Linked DNA regions of Macaca mulatta. The protein of the gene in region 2 binds, or shares a complex with, the protein of the main gene of each other region. Links are inferred from orthologs where the notes say so. Each region holds a gene or a part of one and is shown on either strand. Other genes may lie near its edges.

Region 1 (5,080 bases), on a different chromosome or scaffold from region 2:
CGGAGGTTTCTAGCTGGTGAAGTGATACCGAAAGAATCCTATGACATTAGCGGCTACATGGGCAGGTGCATTGGGGGCACAGTCAGCGCTCCTGCTGCCCTGCTCCCACGTGCCTCTGAGCACTGCACTACACAGACATTTAGGCCTCATAATAACTCCCTAGAGGAGGCTGAGCTCTGCACTACACAGACATTTAGGCCTCATAATAACTCCCTAGAGGAGGCTCAGTACTTAAGTAGGTCCCATCTAATAGATGAGAAAACTAAGGCTTAGTCGTCCATGGCCTGTCGAAGGTCACCAGCTAGTGAGCACAGAACCAGGTTAGCCCAGGTGGTACAGCTTCAGAGCTCACATGTGTAACTTATTACGTTATTCCTATTCAGGAAGCAGAACCACCAGGAACAAATGGCTGATTGGAGGAGGGACCAGCATAAGGAAAGGGGCAGGATTCAGGGTTGGGAGAGGAAATTGATTTCCGTTTTGGATGCATGTCAGCACCCGCATGGGAATAGGCAGTGAGCTGTTGAAAATTCTGGAGTTCAGAAATAACCGTGTCTTGCAATTCCAGATGCAGAGGTCACTGCTCAAAGGTGGCAGTTTGCACCTTGGATATGAAGGAAATTGCTAAGAAGAAAGCAGTGAGAAGAAGGTGAGGGCACCAAAATTCAAGAAACTGCAGGGAAGGAGATGTCTGTGTATGGAGGGAAGAGGTCAGAGGTGGCTGGAGCTCCAGGATGAAATAGGCGATGTTAGATATCGGCCACCTGTTGACAAGGGTCCGAAACTCGGCATGCTCTGAGTGGGTCTTCTCCCTCCCCTCTGCAGCCTGCCTTGCTTCACTGTTGCAAGCTTCCCAGTAAACCACTCTTCTCCCTGCTATAATTTTATATTGCTTGTTGAAACGATATTCCAACAAGTAATATAAATATTTTTGATACACTAGCCTAAATAAAACATATTTAAAAATCAATGTCACCTATTTATTTTTTTCTAATGTGGTCACTAGAAATTTACAATTGCACTGTGGCTCCCATGATGTTCCTACTGGGTGGTGCTGTGCTCCCACAGTGCAACGACTTCAATCTCGCCGAGACCTCTGGTTTGAGTTCAGCCAGGAAAACAGATACCACTCTAGACATCTCAAGCATGAAAGAACATAGCACCATGGAAGGCCAAATCCTCACGAAGGGATGCAGAGCTCGGTGGTAAAGAGCACCATTTTCTAAGAATTTGCTTTCAACAAAAATTGGGAACGCCCAATGAAGTTATTCGCTGACACAAATTAAAAGAGATTGATAGATCAGTATGTGCCTTTGGCATTTAAGTCCGAAGAATTAAATGACATTGCTACTCCTCCTTCACACGGGTGCCTTCGAGGGTCCCCGCTAAGGCCTCTCGCTCTCCACCCTATGGGCAGCCTACCTGCCGGGGGTGGGGGGGTGGGAGTTCTGCGGGGGAAGCACCTGCCCAGGGCGCACCTACTGGGTGCAGGCCGGACAGGTGACCCCTTGGCAGGGAGGGCGGTCACGGTAGCCGGCCAGGCCGGGGTGGGGTCCTCCCGGGGATCCAGACACGGCCCTGTGGCCTCTCCCCGCCCCAAACCTTTCCTTCCTCTCCCCGTCTCTCCCTTCCTCTCCTTCCTCCTTCCCCCAACACCGCCCGCTCCCAGCGCCCCGCCCTCTCCTGGACCGCGCACTCCCTCCGCGGAGGCCCCAGGACGCGCACAAGCTCGCAGTGGACGTCGGCGCGCGCACCGTGCATGGGTTCCCCAGCTGTGGCGCCGCGCGTGCGCGTTCCGTGGTGCCCGGTAGGGCACTGGGAGGCGGGGCATAGACAGGAGGAAGACCGGCGGGCATGTGGGCGGGGCATGATCTGGAGGCGGGGCGGAACGGGCGTGTGGGTGGGGCCCGAGGATCGCGGCGCCCCAGCTCTCGCGAGAGCGGCGCTGGGTGACGACCGGGAGGGCGGGGCCCGTCTGGGGCGCCGGCGGGTGCGTTTGAATCTGGTCCGAGCGCGGGAAACGGCGGGTCCCCGAGCCCAGGTGAGAGCTGCGGTGCGGAGCCGGGATTGGGTTCAGAGCAGAGGCTGGGAGGTAGCAGGGATCGGGCGGAAGCCCCTCCTCGGCTGGTCGGGGTCTCGGCCTCCACTTCCCTAAGTGGGCTGCCGACCAGCGCGCGGGCAGTGCTGCGTCTGACGGGACCGGACGGAAGAGGCGACCCCGGGCCATCCCCCCTTCCCAGCTCAGCGACGCCCGTCCTTCCTGTCCGTGTCGGAGGAAAATCCCAGCCCCGGGCGCGGGCACTGCCCTCAGAGAGAGTCCCCTCAGCCCCAGGCGCGGGCACGCCCTCAGAGAACGAACCCCCAGCCCTGAGCATGGGCACTGCCCTCAGAGAGTGTCCCCTCCGTCCTGGGCATGGGCACTGCCCTCAGAGAGGGTCCCCTCAGCCCCGGGTGCGGGCACTGTCCTCAGAGAGCGACCCCCCAGCCCTGAGCATGGGCACTGCCCTCAGAGAGTGTCCCCTCCGTCCTGGGCATGGACACTACCCTCAGAGAGAGTCCCCTCAGTCCTGGGTGTCGGTACTGCCCTCAGAGAGAGTCCCCTCAGCCCCGGGCGCGGGCACGCTCTCAGAGAGTGACCCCTCAGTCCTGGGTGTCGGTACTGCCCTCAGAGAGAGTCCCCTCAGCCCCGGGCGCGGGCACGCTCTCAGAGAGTGACCCGCCAGCCCTGAGCATGGGCACTGCCCTCAGAGAGCGACCCCCCAGCCCTGAGCATCGGCACTGCCCTCAAGAGAGTGTCCCCTCAGTCCTGGGCCTAGGCACTGCCCTCAGAGAGTGACTCCCTCAGTCCTGGGCATGGGCACTGCCCTCAGAGAGTGAGCCTCTCCGTCCTGGGCGTGGACACTGCCCTCAGAGTGTCCCTTCATTCCTGGGCCTGGGCGCTGCCCTCAGAGAGTAAATCCCCTCAGTCCTGGGCCTGGGCACTGCCCTCAGAGAGCCACCCCCTCCGTCCTGGGCATGGACACTGCCCTCAGTGTCCCCTCAGTCCTGGGCCTGGGCACTGCCCTCAGAGAGTAAATCCCCTCAGTCCTGGGCCTGGGCACTGCCCTCAGAGAGCCACCCCCTCAGTCCTGGGCATGGGCAGTGCCCTCAGCGACCCCCTCAGTCCTGGGCATGGGCACTGCCCTCAGACAGTGTCCCCTTAGAGAGAGTCTCCCTGAGCCCTGGATGTAGGCACTTCCCTCAGAGAGTATCTCCCCAGCCATGGACATGGGCATTGTCCTCAGAGACATCAGTCTCCTGAACTCTTGTTGCTGGTTTGGTGCCTCTTGTTGTGTCAATGAGGAAGGAGTTTGGGGACAGAGTGGAAAGTCACGGGTAGTGACAAGGTTACAGGGATTTCTTCTTTTTAATGCTCATCTTGATTCAGTACCGGACCTTCTGTGCGAAGAGTAGCCTGCTCTTTGGACTGATAACTGGGTGGTGAGATGACTCCTTACCTTGAAAGTAGCATTCTGGCTGCAGGGCTGAGATCTTACGCACATATACTACAAGAAACATGGAATATTGCCACTTTGGGAGATAGATTGAAAAATTAACCATTAAAAAATTACAGTCACTAATATAAGAGGGAAAATGGGAAATACAGGAATAAGTTTGGTAGTCTGGAGGAAGTATATTACTGTAGGTTGGACTACAATGCCAAAGAGGTACACTTGGAAATAGAGCAAACAAGAAAAGTGACCAGAACTATGAAAAAGTGGAGAGTTCACAGACTTGCCAGGTGAAGATGTATGATTCCATGTGTTTGCTGCACCTTATTGGATTATTTTTCTAAAATCATGAATTTGTCCTAGCCACTATTCGTTATGCTTGTTGCTGGCCACTCTCCCTTCCCTCCCCATTTTCTTTGTCAGTAAAATGTATGCGAGTCATGCTTCATTTAAAGAGGGAGAAACGTTGTCGTTAGGCAAGTTCATCATTGAATGAACATCACAGAGTGAACTTGCCTACACCTAGAGGGTGTAGCCTACTGCTGCTAGAATGTTACTGTACTGTAGGCAACTGTAACAATGGTAAGTATTTGCATCGCTAAACATATCTAAGTATAGAAAAGGCACAGTAAAAATATGGCATTATAATCTTATGGGACCACGGTCATATATGTGGTCTGTTGTTGACTGAAATGTTATGTGGTCCATGACTGTGGTTCATAGTTCAGCCATTTGAGTTGAGGAATGAGATGACCAGACTTCACTGTTAACTTATTTGGGGAGTCATTAAACTGAGGTTATTTTCTGCTTTGTTCGATTTAGACATTAAAATCTAGTATTATATGTTTAAGATAACTCTCTATCCCCATAATTATTGGCAGTAATTTTCCATATTGCTCTATTTATAATGGTGCAGGTGGTTTTCATTTATTTTTAAAGTCAGGGGGCTCCTACTGCAAATATGTTCCATCATTTGCTATTACCTCATCTTTAGGTTGATGTCTTTTTAGTAGGGCACCAATAGCACCAGGTGTTGTGAATGTGAAATAGAATTTCCTGGAAAAACACAGACAGGATAGAAGGTGTACAAAGTCCCCTGAGCTCTCATTATCCCGAAGGGGTGGGAGGAGAGTGCTGTGGTTACGCATTTCTAAAGGATAGTCTAACAAGATCCCAGGTGACCCCCGCCCCCCTCCCCGGGGCCACTGTTCTCCATCTCACATTGAATAACAAGATGACACTAACAGTGGGATTTTTTTTTTTGATGGAGGAATGGCCTTTAGAAAGGGAGCATCTTCAGAATCTGCAGCTGGGATCAGATTGTTCTTTTGTTGAACCAACTCGATCTGCCGAGCCAGCATCTTGCTAAGGTACTAAAAAGGGAGAGATGGTGGTGAGCTTCCTAAGGCTATTTGGATTTCTCCCTCCTTAGTTGGTAATTTTATTAACAGTTGTTGATAAAATATCATTAATATCATGTTATTAACATCCCCAGTAAAGGAAATAAGTAAATTGTTTTTCAGATATTATAACTTGTTTTATGTTAGAATATTTTTATAAACTGTCTGCCATATGTGGTTCAGGAATTT
Region 2 (4,200 bases):
GGGAGGAGGGAGGCCTGCCTGGGAAGGGTCTCTACAGCAGGCGTGTTCTCGCCGGCACAGCCGTCAGGGTGAGGTCCTGGCCAGCCGGAAGGATTTCAGGATGAACACGTGCGTTCCCCACCCCAGAGGGGCTTTCATGTTGGAGCCAGAGGGCATGTCCCCCGTGGAGCCAGCAGGCGCTTCCATGCCAAGGACCCAGAAGGGTGAGGGCTTGGATGCGGGGGCTTGGTGGGAAGGAAGGGAGGGAGGGTCTTCTGGGTGGACTCTTGTGGGGTGCCCTGTGCTTGCCACCTCTGGTCTTGGGAGCTCCCTCTCTCTGGGTGCCCGCTCCAGTCTAGACAGGTTGGCTGGTGCTCATCCCACCCGTCTGCTGTGCCTTGATTACAAGTTAACATGGTCTCAGTGCCAGGGACCTGGTGCCTGGCTCAGGGCCCTGCTGTGTTCCCCCAGCCCAAGGCCTGGAGTCTGCTGGACTCTGCCCTTCTGCTGGCCCCTTGGAGGGGCTAGTTGAACACCAGGCAGGGACCATCTTGGAGAGGGGCTGGGCTGACCTTGTCCAATCCCTGTCTCCCAGATGCCGGGAGAACTGAGGAGCAGCCAATGGAAGTTTCCGTGTGCAGGAGCCCTGTCCCAGCACTTGGCTTCTCCCAGGACCCAGGTGAGAAGAAAGCTCCCTGGTGGGACTGGCATGGCAGCCAAAGGGGACCAGAGAGGCAGCTCTCAGTGGACAGGGGTCCAAGGCGCTGCCGTCAGCTGCCAGCCTCACACCCTTTCCATGGCCCACGGGAATGAGGCCTCACCCCGGGGAAGCAGCCACAGCCCCTGGCCTTACCTAAGCCTCAGCCCGTCTTGGTTCACTGACTGCCCTCTGCCTTCCTGGGTGTCCTCTCTGGGCAGATGTGGATGGCTGCATTTAAAGAGGAACATTTGCCAAGAAATAAAATGAACCAAACAGAGCACAGCACGCTAGCATGACGAGGAGGGTGCAAGGCACCTGCTGAATCCTCTGGGTTCCGTGACTAAAGCTGAGGGAGGAAGTAGCCGTCAGGGTCCCTCTGGTGCCGTCTGGTCTCGACATTCCTTGGAGCTGATCACTCTCTTGCTCCCTGTCCAGGCCCCTCTCCAGAAGGCCCGGCGCCCCTGGGCGGGGGTGAGGACGAGGATGCAGAGGAGGCAGTAGACCTTCCTGAGGCCTCGGCCCCCAAGGCCACTCTGGAGCCCGAGGAGCCCAGGAGCCCGCAGCAGGTGGGACCCACATGGAGGCCTGCAGAGCCTGAGCTGTGAACGGGGCAACCCTGGCTCTGGGGTTGAGTCAGCCTGCACGAGGAGGGCAGCGCTATGGCCTTGGCCCCGGGCCATTGGTCTGGGGCAGAAGCCCACCGTCCTGCAGCCCGTCCTGCAGCCAGCCCTTTGGAACGGCAGCTTCCGTGTTCCTCCCCTCTCTGGACAGAACTGATGATCTTCAGAGTAGTGGGCTGGCGTCCAAGGGTTTGGGCCCTGCCGAGCTCACAGCTACCTGGGATGGCTGCTGGTCGCCGAGGCGCCTCTTTTGCAGTTGGGCTGGTAGGAGGGGGTGTCTGGAGGCCATTGCTGCCTCCCTCAACCCCCAGGGTCAACTGTACGCAGTCTAGAGCCAAGAAATCCTTTTTATTTATTAAAGCAGAAAATCAACCCGATGCATACAGAGGAAATGTTAATGTTTCTTCACTCTGGTTGGTCGATGACATGGATATTTGTCATATTCTATTCGTTTTTCTTAGTTTTGAAGAAGAGTACCCCGTGACCACTGTTTTTTTTGTTTTGTTTTGTTTTGTTTTTTGCGAGACAGAGTCTCGCTCTGTCGCCCAGGCTGGAGTTCTGTGGTGCGATCTTGGCTCACTACAAGCTCCGCCTCCTGGGTTCACGCCATTCCTGCCTCCCGAGTAGCTGGGTCTACAGTCGCCTGCCACCATGCCCGACATCCACCCGCCTTGGCCTCCCAAAGTGCTGGGATTACAGGCATGAGCCACGGCGTCCGGCCCACTGTTTGTGTTTTAAAGTTTTTCTTCGGGTTTTTGTTTTAATGCCCCCAGAGAGTACTAGCAGGGTTTTTTTGTTTGTTTGTTTGTTTTTGAGACAGGGTCTTGCTCTGTTGCCCAGGGTAGAGTGCAGTGGCCTGATCTTGGCTCACTACAGCCTTGACCCTCTCTAGGCTCAGGTGATCCTTCCACCTCAGCCTCCCGAGTAGCTGGGACTATAGATGCGTGCCACCACACCTGGCTAATTTTCGTATTTTTTGTAGAGACGGGGTCTCACTACGTTGCCCAGGCTGGTCTGGAACTCCTTGCTCAAACGATCTGCCTGCCTTGGCCTCCCAAAGCACTGGGATTATGGGCGTGAGCCACTGTGTCTGGCCCCTGTAGGATTTTTCTTTTTTTTTAGACAGAGTCTTGTTCTTTTGCCCAGGCTGGAGTGCAGTGGCGTGATCTTGGCTCGCTGCAACCTCTGCCTCCTGGGTTCAAGCGATTCTCCTGCCTCAGCCTCCTGAGTAGGTGGGATTACAGGTGTGTGCCACCACGCCCGGCTAATTTTTTTTGTATTTTTAGTAGAGGCGGGGTTTCACCGTGTTGACCAGGCTGGTCTCAAACTCTTGACCTCAGGTGATCTGCCCACCTTGGCCTCCCAAAGCGCTTCGATTACAGGCATGAGCCACCGTGCCCGGCCCTTGTAGAGTTCTTGATGTTGACCCAAGGTGGAGTTCCTGGGGTACCCAGAGCCTTGAGTGGAGAAAGGGGAGAAGTGGAGACCCTGTGACTGTCTTTGCAGAGTGCTGCCCTGCCCAGGAGGTACATGCTGCGGGAGCGAGAGGGGGCCCCAGAGCCTGCATCCTGCATGAAGGTAGGAGCGTTGGGGCCCTGACCCTGGCAGGGAGGACGGGCGGATTCGAGGACTGGCTGCCTGCCCATCATGCTCTCGCTCCTGCGGTGTTCTCAGCCTGTGGCCCTTTGCACTTGCTCTCTTAGAGACCCCCTCATGCGACTCTGGGCCCCCACCGTCCCTCGATTGTTCCCCTCTGTGATCCAGGATTTGAGTGTGGTCGGCTCTGTCCCAGGCTCTCACCGCACTTGTTGCCTGGGCTTTGGGAGGGCGGCTGTGCACCCCCTACTCCTCCTTTGGGAGGGCGGCTGTGCACCCCCTACTCCTTTGGGAGGGCGGCTGTGCACCCCCTACTCCTCCTTTGGGAGGGCGGCTGTGCACCCCCTACTCCTCCTTTGGGAGGGCGGCTGTGCACCCCCTACTCCTCCTTTGGGAGGGCGGCTGTGCACCCCCTACTCCTCCTTTGGGAGGGCGGCTGTGCACCCCCTACTCCTCCTTTGGGAGGGCGGCTGTGCACCCCCTACTCCTCCTTTGGGAGGGCGGCTGTGCACCCCCTACTTCTCCTTTGGGAGGGCGGCTGTGCACCCCCTACTCCTCCAGCGCCTTCTTGTGCTCTGTGCCCAGGAGACTCCAGAGCCCTGGCAGAGCCTGGACCCCTTTGACTCCCTGGAGTCTAAGCCCTTCAAGAAAGGTAATTGGGTGGAAGATACCTCCACTCAGGTACTCCTGGCTGGGTCTCCTGGGGCATGAGGTAGGGGGGTGGGAGAGGGCTTTGCACCCTGATTGCCCAGCAGCTCTAAGACAGTCCCTGTTTGCCTCTAGGTAGGCCTTACTCTGTGCCCCCCTGTGTGGAGGAGGCTCCGGGACAGAAGCGCAAGAGGAAGAGTGCTGCCAAGCTGCAGGACTTCCACCAGTGGTACCTGGCTGCCTGTGAGTGGGTGTGCCATGCACTCCGGACCCCTGGGAGCTGGGGGCTGGGCCAGGGCCCGTGGAGGAGGATCAACACCCTTTCCCCACTGCCGTGGGCAGCTCTTGGCCTGGTTGGTGCTGACCATGTTCTCTCTCAGATGCTGACCATGCTGACAGCCGGAGGCCTCGGCGAAAGGGTCCGTCCTTTGCAGGTGAGGCTGAAGTCCTCAGGGAAGACAGTTTTACTCCCCTTCCCCTACGTCTGCCCCCACCTGGTGTCACCAGAGCCTCGGGTGGACTGGCACAGGGCCTGGGAAGGACAAGGGAGTCTTCACAAGGTCTTTGTCTGCAGACATGGAGGTCCTGTACTGGACACACGTGAAGGAGCAGTTGGAAACTCTCCGGAAGCTGCAGAGGAGGGAGGCAAGTCCCAAC
Region 3 (5,007 bases), on a different chromosome or scaffold from region 2:
CAGGAGGCAGAGTTTGAAGTTAGTCATCAGTGATTTCCTCAAGTCCATTTGTCCTATATTTAGCAGCAATTCCTTAGTGGTTCTGGCATGCAATAAGACTAAAACTGATAGAGATCTCCACCTTTATAAGCATTTTTCATTTTGATCAATGGTCTTAATGGGAGTAGTTAGATCTGCACATTCTTCTAACCACCCAGAAGTCCTTAACCAACAACAGTGCATTTGTATGTTTTCATCCATTTGACGTAAGTGCATCAGCTAGTTGTTAAAGTGCAAAGACTAACAGTCTGTCTTCACACATATTTCCATACCAAGAATCACTTTATTTCACAACTTGACTACGTCCACATTAGGATTTGTTGGCAAATTAAAAATTATTTACTCACAAAATGATAAAAGGAAGGAGACACAGGTGAAAGTAAATGTGTAAGAGTTAACAGAATCAATACAATTGAATAGCTGTGGAGCCTAGGGGATGCAGGATTCAAGGCAGACAAAGATATCTGCTGAAGTAAATTAATGTTAGGTCACTACCCATGGTTGACATCACAGAAGTGGGTAAGCATATCAGAGTAAATAAATGAATCCTTTCTTAAACAAAAAACCCATAAAACTTATTTTACTCCCTTAACGAGAAATATTTTCAAAATTTAGGCCCATTCCTGGTAGATTAAGACCAGTTCAGACGACTGCATTGCCATTCCAGGGCCAAGAAAGCAACTTTAAAAACACGCCCTATGCTATGGTCTAAATATGTCCCTCAAACTTCACATTTTGAAATTCTAACCCCCAAACTGATGGTTTTGGCAAGTGGCCTCTTGGGAAGTGAGGAATGGGAAGAAAGGAAAGGCCCTTATAAGATAGGCCCAAGGGAGGGCCTCTGCCTCTCCACCATGTGAGGACAGGGTCAGAAGGTGCTATCCACTGAACAGAAAGCACTCCTTCCTAGACACACCTTGTTCTGTGACATTCCAGCCTTCAGAAATGTGAAGAATAAACCTCTGTGGTTCATAAGCTACCCAGTCTATGGTATTTTGTTATGGAAGCCCAAAAGGATCAAGCCATCCCAAAATGGCATTGTCCACACCATGTTTTTGTACCTCACCTAGAAAAACACCATACCCATTCGGAGTTAAATCCTTCCTAACTCTTTAGTATCAACGTGCTTGGAAACGTAAGTAATGCTGACACCTTTTTTCTTTCTAAAGAACAATACATACCAATTAACAGGATCGGTGAATAGTACTAGATTCTATGCAGGGAGCCTAGTATGTATTTAAAAGCATGCAATCTGGAACTAGACTGGAAACAAATCCCAGCTTACTAGACAAACTGCTTAACCTTTTACTTGGACTCATTCAACTCATTTGTAAAACGAGGGCAATTTCTGATTTCACAGGGTTGCTACGAGGATTTTAAAAAGCCCCTTGGAACATAGCCTAACACTCAGAACTCAATAAATATGAACTGTCTTAAAAGGTTTCCAGAAAAATTCCCTGACAGGTTAGGTAGGCTTATCATTACAACGCTTTCCAGTGTAAGGGAGGTGAACAGCTATTTAGCACCACACAACTCCTCTGGGCTCAGAACAGCTCTCAGTAGACTACGATCCCTTCCCGACGTGAAAATTTCAGATAAAAAGGCTCGGCGAAGTCCGAAGGCAGCACGGGACCGAGCCAGGACGCGGGCCAGAGTCCTCCGAAGGACTGTGCCTCTCCGGCCCCACCGAAATACAGCTTTTACTTTGCAGCAATCTGAGCCAACCCAAGAAGATTCTGAGGCTTCCAAAACAGAACCGACAAGAACACTCAAAGAATGCCTCTACACCTCCTGATTCTGTCGCTTTGCGTGAAGAGTAGTAAGCCGCGGTGAGCACCGCCCAGAACTCGAGAAGGCGGAGTCTGCAGGGCGCCGAACGCTGACTAGAGGACCCGAGGAGGGGCGGGGCTGACGAAGCGCGAGGACCTGGGGACGAGGTGTGGGGCTGACCATAGCGTGCCGGACGCCGGTGTGAACATATACTACCTGCTCTTGTAGTGCCCAGGCCCGCGCCTGGGAGTCCCCGGAGCTGCCATTATCGAGACTCTGCGTCCTATTGCCCTGAAGCGTTAATCCTTCGCGTGTAGGGGAAAAATGGAATCCTAAAGACAGGCAGCTCCTAGGCACCAGCACAGGAAATAAGCAATGGAGGTGGGGTCCTTTGCTCGCGCCGAAATTCAAAGGAATAAATAGTTCCGGCGCGGGTGTTGAGAGCGGTGCGGCAGGTGTTGTATCCGCTATGGTGAAGTTCTCTTCGTAGCAGCCGCGGCTAGAGAGTTGGCCTGCTCCCCGCCTTTGTGACCCGGAGGAGCTTTTGGGGTGCGTCAAGCCCTGGCCTGAGGCAGCGGTGAGGCGTGTGCGTGAGCACGGCCGGTTGAGCCCGGCTAGACATCCTGGCGGGAGGCGGGACGCGGGGGCTATGGGGAGGAGGACCTTAGGTGATCCTTAGAAATAAAGGCTAGTTCCTATTCGGCCTTGGAGTAGGGCGAAGAGGTGTAGACAGGCCTCAAGAAGCGAAGTAACAGCCTGAGTAAAAGCAAGACGGTGGAGAGTATGAGATACATCTCATCCCTAGTAAATACTTAGATGACTTCCCCTCCTCCCGGAGTCAAGCACAATTCGGGGATGCAATGATGAACGTAGGTGAAGATACTACAGGAACTTACAGACAAGTAATGACCGTCTAATACCAGTTTTAAGTACCATGAAGGAAAAAGCCGAGTGAAGAAGTGTGGAGAGGTGACACAGGGAGGTCAGGGAGGACTCCAGTAGGGTGACACATTTGAGCAAAGACGTGAGTGCAGTAGAGAGTAAGCTACGTCAGTATCAGAAAAAAGCACATTGTGGGCAAAGATAATGGGGTATGAAATAATCCGTAGTCTTTATTAGCTAGAGTATGATGAAAGTAGAAGGCAAGCCTGGAAAAACAGGTGTAAGAAATAGTTAAGACTTCCCAGTTGAATGGTTTAATTTCCAGATAGTGGCTAACTCTGTTATATTTTTGAGTAGATGAACGATGTCTTTACATCAGACAAGATAGTTTGTCAAGTGGCTGTTTTATTTCTATTACCCTATCATTACCGTTTTTGCCTAGTGTTCATTATGATTCCAGGTTTACATTCCACTTAGGTGGTGGTATTTCTGTTTCGTACAGAACTGGTTTGTGGCCTGTTTGATTCCTGTCAGAGGTTTGCTGACCCAAGACAGTATCGAAAATGCATATTAAGTCAATTATTCTAGAGGGATTCAAGTCCTATGCTCAGAGAACCGAAGTCAATGGTTTTGACCCCCTCTTCAATGCTATCACTGGCTTAAATGGTAGTGGAAAATCAAACATATTGGACTCCATCTGCTTTTTGCTGGGCATCTCCAACCTGTCTCAGGTAAAGTGTAAACTTTCTGATTTATTTGAATTTAAGTGGGCAGGAGAATCCTCCCTGAACTTTGGAGACTTAACAATATTCTCTTCATTTGTGTTTTTATACTTTTTGTAAATTACACCTCACTGTCACCTTTTAAGGAAACTATTATTACTCCTTTAGATGAGAAAATAGAAACATAGAGATGTTTATGTTGGAGATGTTTATAAGTAACAATGCCTCAAAACTCAGGCTTTCTGACTGTAAAGTAGTCTCATTCCAGAGTATTTTCAACCCTGTGTAATGATGCCTTTTCAAATCCTGCTAATAGATTGAATGACTAGTGAAAATCATTGGGACTGTCTTTCCTTATATCTTGCCAAGTAACTTTTTGTTAAAAAATGAATAGGAAACAATTCAATTCAGAGTTGAAAAGGTTCTATAGAGAAAAGTGTCCATTTCAGGTTGTTACCTATTTTCCTTGCCAGAGTATGCAGCTGCCTATCCTTGTCTGCTTAGTGGACACTATGTTGGTGGGTTTTCCAACAGCAAGGAATTCATTTTTAGTGCTGCTTTGTAGGGAGTTTTGTAATTGATACACTTTTCTTCTTTTATTTTAGGTTCGAGCTTCTAATTTACAAGATTTAGTTTACAAAAATGGGCAGGCTGGTATTACCAAAGCCTCTGTGTCAATCACATTTGATAATTCTGACAAAAAGCAAAGTCCTTTAGGATTTGAGGTTCATGATGAAATCACAGTAACAAGGCAGGTGAGTGGCTATTAAACATTTCGATATCTTAAGACCTTTTATGTCTGATGTGGTTTTTGGCCCTATGCCTTTGCAAAACGTGCTAGAGAAAGTTGATGAGCAAAATTTGTGCCTTAAATTCTGACTAGATTCCTTAATATCTTCCTTACATTAAAATTTTGATCATGTACACTCTATCACTAAGAGAACTGAAAGAGAACTGAAAAGTTATTCATCCCGTATAAGCACTCAGCTATGCTGAAATCTTAAACCATACTTGAATCTTCTCTGGCTGTTCTTGAACACCTGTGTACTTGAGATCTTGCAGTCGTCTGAGGTAACCCATTCTGTTTTTGGACAGGTCTTACTAGAAAGTTACCCCTATAAATTTTGTCAGAGTCTGCTGTCTTCAAATTTTATTCATTAATCCTAGTGCTCTTGAGAGCACTAAGAGCAAATCTGACTTATTCCCTACTTCAGTGTTCAAGTGATCTGCAAGCATATGTGTTTTAGTTCTAAGTGAAATCTTACCAGGTCTTTCATTGATGTTTGTTCCTAGTTCCTTCACTTGCCTGATTATACCAGGTATGCTCCAGTTTCCCTCCCTGCCCCTGCATTCATCTATCTATCTTTTAATGACACCTTAGATTGAGTGTACTGAAATCGGTCTAGTTAGAGTTATTGTTTCATTTTAGACATTCTACTTCTATTTTTCTCAGTAGAGCTTTTTTTTTATGTGTGTTATTAATATAGTCAGGCAGTGTTTTCAGCTTGTCAATGTTTTTTGTTTTGTTTTGTTTTTTGTTTTTTGTTTTTTTTTGAAGACGGAGTCTTGCTCTGTTACCCAGGCTGGAGTGTAG
Region 4 (3,606 bases), on a different chromosome or scaffold from region 2:
GAAGGGGGTGACTGTCAGGAAATGTCTCAACTCTTCAAAGCTGGTAGGAAAGCCGCCGCCCAGTTCGGCACTGTGGTGCACCAGTTCAAAGTGGTTTTGCTAAATGGAAATGAAAATTACTCATTTTTCAGAGCTAGGATTTTAACTGAAAATCTGTGGGGTTTTAGCAAGTCCCTCTTACTTTATCATTCGGGTGGCACAGACACTGCTGCCTTTGATTCTACGCACAGTGCATGGGGGATGTCAGAGCCCCCACACCCGTGCTTCTGTAAAGATGGGAGACTAATTTCCTGGAGCACACATGGGCTTCCAAACAGGAAGAGCAGCGTGTGTGTGAGGAAGGGAATTTGTGAGGAAGGGAATTTGTGAGGAAGGGAATTTCATGTGAGGGTACAAGGAGAGACAGAAACAGAATAAGCAGATCTAGCAGTGATGAGGATAGAATTCTCTGCCATTGTCTGTCAATGACACTCAAGTAGCCATCAGGTACACTGCAGTGCGCTGATGAGCTTTAAAATGTAAATGGGAAGACGGTCTGTACTGAAGACACCGTGTGGAGAACGGGGAGAGCGCTGAAGCTGCCTCCTCGCGAGTCTTGCAGAAAGGCAGCAGGTTCAGTGGCATCAGCAAGCGGCCGCCCAGCCCGTGCTGTTCCTGGGAGTGTGCTGCTGGCAGCTTATGCACCGAGTACAGCACTACCCGGGCCCCCAAGACCGGGTGGCGTGTGTAGACAGATGGGGCGGAGGGGCAGAGGAGCATGATGTGCAGACAGGGCCTGCTGAGGAAGGGATGCAGGAGGGTGGACGTGTGTGGGCACATGCACCTCAGCATAACAGCTAAGTCTGTAAAGGCAGCTTGGGACCAGCTGAGACTGAGGGTGCACTTCAGGCTCTCCTAGGAACACAGCCATCGAGGTGTCTTAAAGCAGGGCAGTAAATTTACCAGCTTCTTGATTAAACATAACTCCAGTGACGCAGGGAGGATACTGCTGATAAATGACAGTGGCCGCTAACATCTCTTGAGCACGCCCTTGCAGCCAGCGCCATGCTAAGCACTCGGTGTAGATAACCTCATGTAGTCCTGGGCACCATGCTAAGCACTCGGTGTAGACAACCTCCTGTCGTCCTGGGCACCATGCTAAGCACTCGGTGAAGGTAACCTCATGTCGTCCTGGCAGCCCGCCAGTGAGGTAGCTGTTTTTATACCCACGTAAGAGATGCAGAAACCTGAGGGTCTCAGAGCAGCTCACACAGCTGGTAAGACACCGAGCCAGAATTCACACCCAAGTTGCGGTGGAGTCTGCTCGTAAACGGTGTTCACCTGTTCCTGAGGGCAAACTGGAGGGGGGTAGGTGCCATGAAAAATCAAGGGCGAGGGGTGAGGCGGACTGAGCCGCTCCCAGTGCGGCACGACGGGACAGGATGAAGTGGCGACTGGAGGTAGAAGGGACAGGCCTTGGCTGCTGATTCCATATGGAGGAGCCGCTCACGGTGCCACATTTCCAGCTTGCACGGTCCATTCACTGGTGGAAACTAACAGGCACGCGTGGAGGTGCAGAGGCAAGGAGTTAATTGTCCTCGGGGAATCTGGGTGAGCCACCGTAGGAAGTGTAGTGAGTGGGACAGCGCGGTCACTGGGACAGGGGTGATCATGGAAGATGGGGTGGGAGGGAAGCCAGAGGCGTGAACAGTGAGGCCCAGGGGCCAGCCGAGTGCCTAAGGAGGGCTGCGGTCAGAGAGACGGAAAGGAGCGTCCCCAGGAGGGGCCCTCATCCCTGCCAGGACCTGGGACAGGGTCCAGTGGAGGTCTGAGGGCCGCCACTGGGACACCGATGTGGACACCGTGCCTACGTCACACACACAACTGGAGCCGCCCCCTCTGCCTTCACTCACAGTGGTGTCTCCCCTTTATGCAGAGAGCATCAATGATGTCACGTTTGGAGCCGGGGTCAGTTACATCGGGACACCACGGACTCCTTCATCAGCCAAAGGCAAGTTCTTGGTTTCCTTCTGGGCTGATATATGCGCTGCCTCTGAGGTTCTGGCAAAACTGAATTTGTTTGTTTAAATCCCTTTTAGAGAAAATTGAAGCCAGGAGTCAAGGAAATGACATCTTATGTTTATCATTGCCTGATAAACCGTAAGTTTAGCAGTGTTCCTTTTGAGGTGGATGTTTTTTTCAGGGTTTTTCTGAGTTCCAGAATGACTGCGTATGTCCTTTCCCTAGGCCCCCACAGCCTCAGCAGTGGAATGTGAGGTCTCCAGCCAGGAATAAAGACACTCCAGCCTGCAGCAGGAGGTCCCTGCGAAAGACCCCTCTGAAAACAGCCAACTAAAGAGCGCATCCCCACCAGTGTCCGGGCAGGCAAGAGCCCCTGAGGAAGCCGTCTCGTGTCCTCCGTGTGGACAGGCAGCTGGATCACTTCCCGCAGTCCTTGGGCAGCGCTTTGCTGTGGAACACGAGAGCTCCTCCTCAGGGGCCTGGCACTCACCTGCATTTAGCCGGCCAGCCCTTTCTATGCTGTATGATATATATGGTTAAACACTGTAAAATAGAGATGTGCCAAATTTAGATTTTCTTACCCTAAGCCTAATCTATTTAATATTATAACTTTATTCCATTTGAAAGTGTCAAGCCCATGCAGATAAGCTATAATCTGGTCTTTAAAAACTTCAGCTTTCTTTTATATAAATCAAGCCTGTGTTAACATGTTTGAATTCCTTATAGTACATATTTTCCCATCTGTAATGACAAAATATTGATTGTAATATTTTTTCTATTATTTATAATTGCAAATTTTTAAAATATACAGCTTTCTAAAAGTAATAAATGTTTAGGATAAATACAGCCTTCCAGTAAATAGAATGTTTCTGTTTTTAGAACAGAGCTCTTACTGGTAATCATTTTAATTTTACGTAAAGCATGTTAGAGGAATGAAACCAAATCTTTCCTATTAGAAAAAAAATGATTGTCTTGAGGGGCAGTTGATCTGTGCCCATGCAGAGGCCATGTGCTTTCTATAACAGACATAAACAGCATCGCTGCTTGTGAAAAAATAGCTTTGCGGCCTTCCCCAGAGCAGCACTGATGCCGATTTGTGCAGCCCTCTGCTAAGGGCTGCTCCCGTGATGGGGGAACGGCTTGAGTCTCTTCTGTTCACTCTGTTGGGTAAACTTAACGATATTTTTGTTCAAGAATATCCAAAAAGAAATGCAGTTGGCTTGTTTTTTAATCCCAGTATTACAAAAGCAAAAGTACAAAGTGATTATGTGCGTTGGTTGGTTTGGGGGATGGATGGGATGCCACTGAGCTCTGCCCCTGCTATCCTAAGTGGGGACTGCAACGCAGGTGGACTCGGTGGTGGAGAGGCGCAGCACTGCTCTGGAGCACACAGGCTGACATTCTGCCCAGGCACCGACCGACTCCCCTGGTGGATGGGTGACAGCATTTTTAGTGCGCGCGCCTAACCACTGAAATGCCAGGAAGAAGAGACAAACACAAGAGCAAACAAGAAAGAATGAAGCAATGTTTGGGTTTTTTTTGAAGCTTTTATAAATGAGGTTAAACAAATACCAAATTACAGGTGTGTTAGTACAAGTCTGTAAT

The links. The genes of interacting proteins can lie anywhere in the genome.
Region 1: the proteins of NCAPH2 (region 2) and NCAPG2 are in contact, whole or in part, in a cryo-EM structure (PDB 9F5W), measured with the Homo sapiens proteins. The link is inferred for Macaca mulatta from reciprocal best matches to the Homo sapiens genes NCAPH2 and NCAPG2. Residues at the interface, in NP_689512.2 of Homo sapiens: Pro316, Trp317, Gln318, Ser319, Leu320, Pro322, Phe323, Asp324, Ser325, Leu326, Glu327, Ser328, Lys329, Pro330, Phe331, Lys332, Lys333, Gly334, Arg335, Pro336, Tyr337, Ser338, Val339, Glu344, Gln360, Asp361, Phe362, Gln364, Trp365, Tyr366; in NP_001268861.1 of Homo sapiens: Lys248, Leu251, Gln252, His292, Ile294, His295, Leu296, Pro297, Arg299, Ser300, Val302, Lys340, Ala341, Arg342, Asn343, Ser344, Glu345, Val346, Pro388, Tyr389, Pro390, Arg393, Gly425, Glu426, Ala428, Phe429, Asp430, Thr431, Ser432, Arg437.
Region 3: the proteins of NCAPH2 (region 2) and SMC2 are in contact, whole or in part, in a cryo-EM structure (PDB 9F5W), measured with the Homo sapiens proteins. The link is inferred for Macaca mulatta from reciprocal best matches to the Homo sapiens genes NCAPH2 and SMC2. Residues at the interface, in NP_689512.2 of Homo sapiens: Glu46, Phe53, Ile54, Glu55, Leu58, Leu59, Gly62, Ser63, Ala64, Cys65, Val66, Lys69, Tyr73; in NP_001036015.1 of Homo sapiens: Leu93, Thr125, Gln128, Asp129, Cys132, Gly135, Leu136, Asn137, Met173, Tyr174, Lys177, Lys178.
Region 4: the proteins of NCAPH2 (region 2) and NCAPD3 are in contact, whole or in part, in a cryo-EM structure (PDB 9F5W), measured with the Homo sapiens proteins. The link is inferred for Macaca mulatta from reciprocal best matches to the Homo sapiens genes NCAPH2 and NCAPD3. Residues at the interface, in NP_689512.2 of Homo sapiens: Trp22, Ser68, Lys69, Glu72, Tyr75, Tyr79, Leu82, Asp83, Ser86, Ile144, Ile145, Pro146, Leu147, Leu148, Met150, Ala151, Leu152, Val153, Asp156, Glu159, Asn161, Asn162, Asn163, Pro164, Leu165, Tyr166, Ser167, Arg168, Gly170, Leu173; in NP_056076.1 of Homo sapiens: Arg589, Pro591, Met629, Glu680, Arg683, Tyr684, His690, Lys724, Glu793, Asp800, Gln803, Arg804, Arg807, Gln817, Leu820, Gln865, Leu866, Cys867, Pro868, Ala869, Arg870, Val871, Val918, Ile925, Lys929, Leu932, Gln933, His934, Ala956, Asn960.

Annotation. Positions count from the first base shown.
Region 1 is NC_133408.1:198,132,667-198,137,746, reverse strand, and holds the start of NCAPG2 (condensin-2 complex subunit G2), read left to right. Parts: upstream 1-2,021; 5' UTR 2,022-2,041; intron 2,042-4,761; exon of another isoform or gene 4,762-4,861; intron 4,862-5,080. UniProt on the Homo sapiens protein: Regulatory subunit of the condensin-2 complex, a complex which establishes mitotic chromosome architecture and is involved in physical rigidity of the chromatid axis.
Region 2 is NC_133415.1:935,942-940,141, reverse strand, and holds part of NCAPH2 (condensin-2 complex subunit H2), read left to right. Parts: intron 1-60; coding exon 61-203; intron 204-574; coding exon 575-658; intron 659-1,114; coding exon 1,115-1,245; intron 1,246-2,805; coding exon 2,806-2,877; intron 2,878-3,480; coding exon 3,481-3,547; intron 3,548-3,678; coding exon 3,679-3,786; intron 3,787-3,923; coding exon 3,924-3,977; intron 3,978-4,117; coding exon 4,118-4,188; intron 4,189-4,200. UniProt on the Homo sapiens protein: Regulatory subunit of the condensin-2 complex, a complex that seems to provide chromosomes with an additional level of organization and rigidity and in establishing mitotic chromosome architecture.
Region 3 is NC_133420.1:54,311,303-54,316,309, reverse strand, and holds the start of SMC2 (structural maintenance of chromosomes protein 2), read left to right. Parts: upstream 1-1,948; 5' UTR 1,949-2,386; exon of another isoform or gene 2,387-2,395; intron 2,396-3,193; 5' UTR 3,194-3,254; coding exon 3,255-3,422; intron 3,423-4,018; coding exon 4,019-4,168; intron 4,169-5,007. UniProt on the Homo sapiens protein: Central component of the condensin complex, a complex required for conversion of interphase chromatin into mitotic-like condense chromosomes.
Region 4 is NC_133419.1:134,384,785-134,388,390, reverse strand, and holds the end of NCAPD3 (condensin-2 complex subunit D3), read left to right. Parts: intron 1-1,915; coding exon 1,916-1,990; intron 1,991-2,078; coding exon 2,079-2,139; intron 2,140-2,226; coding exon 2,227-2,335; 3' UTR 2,336-2,847; downstream 2,848-3,606.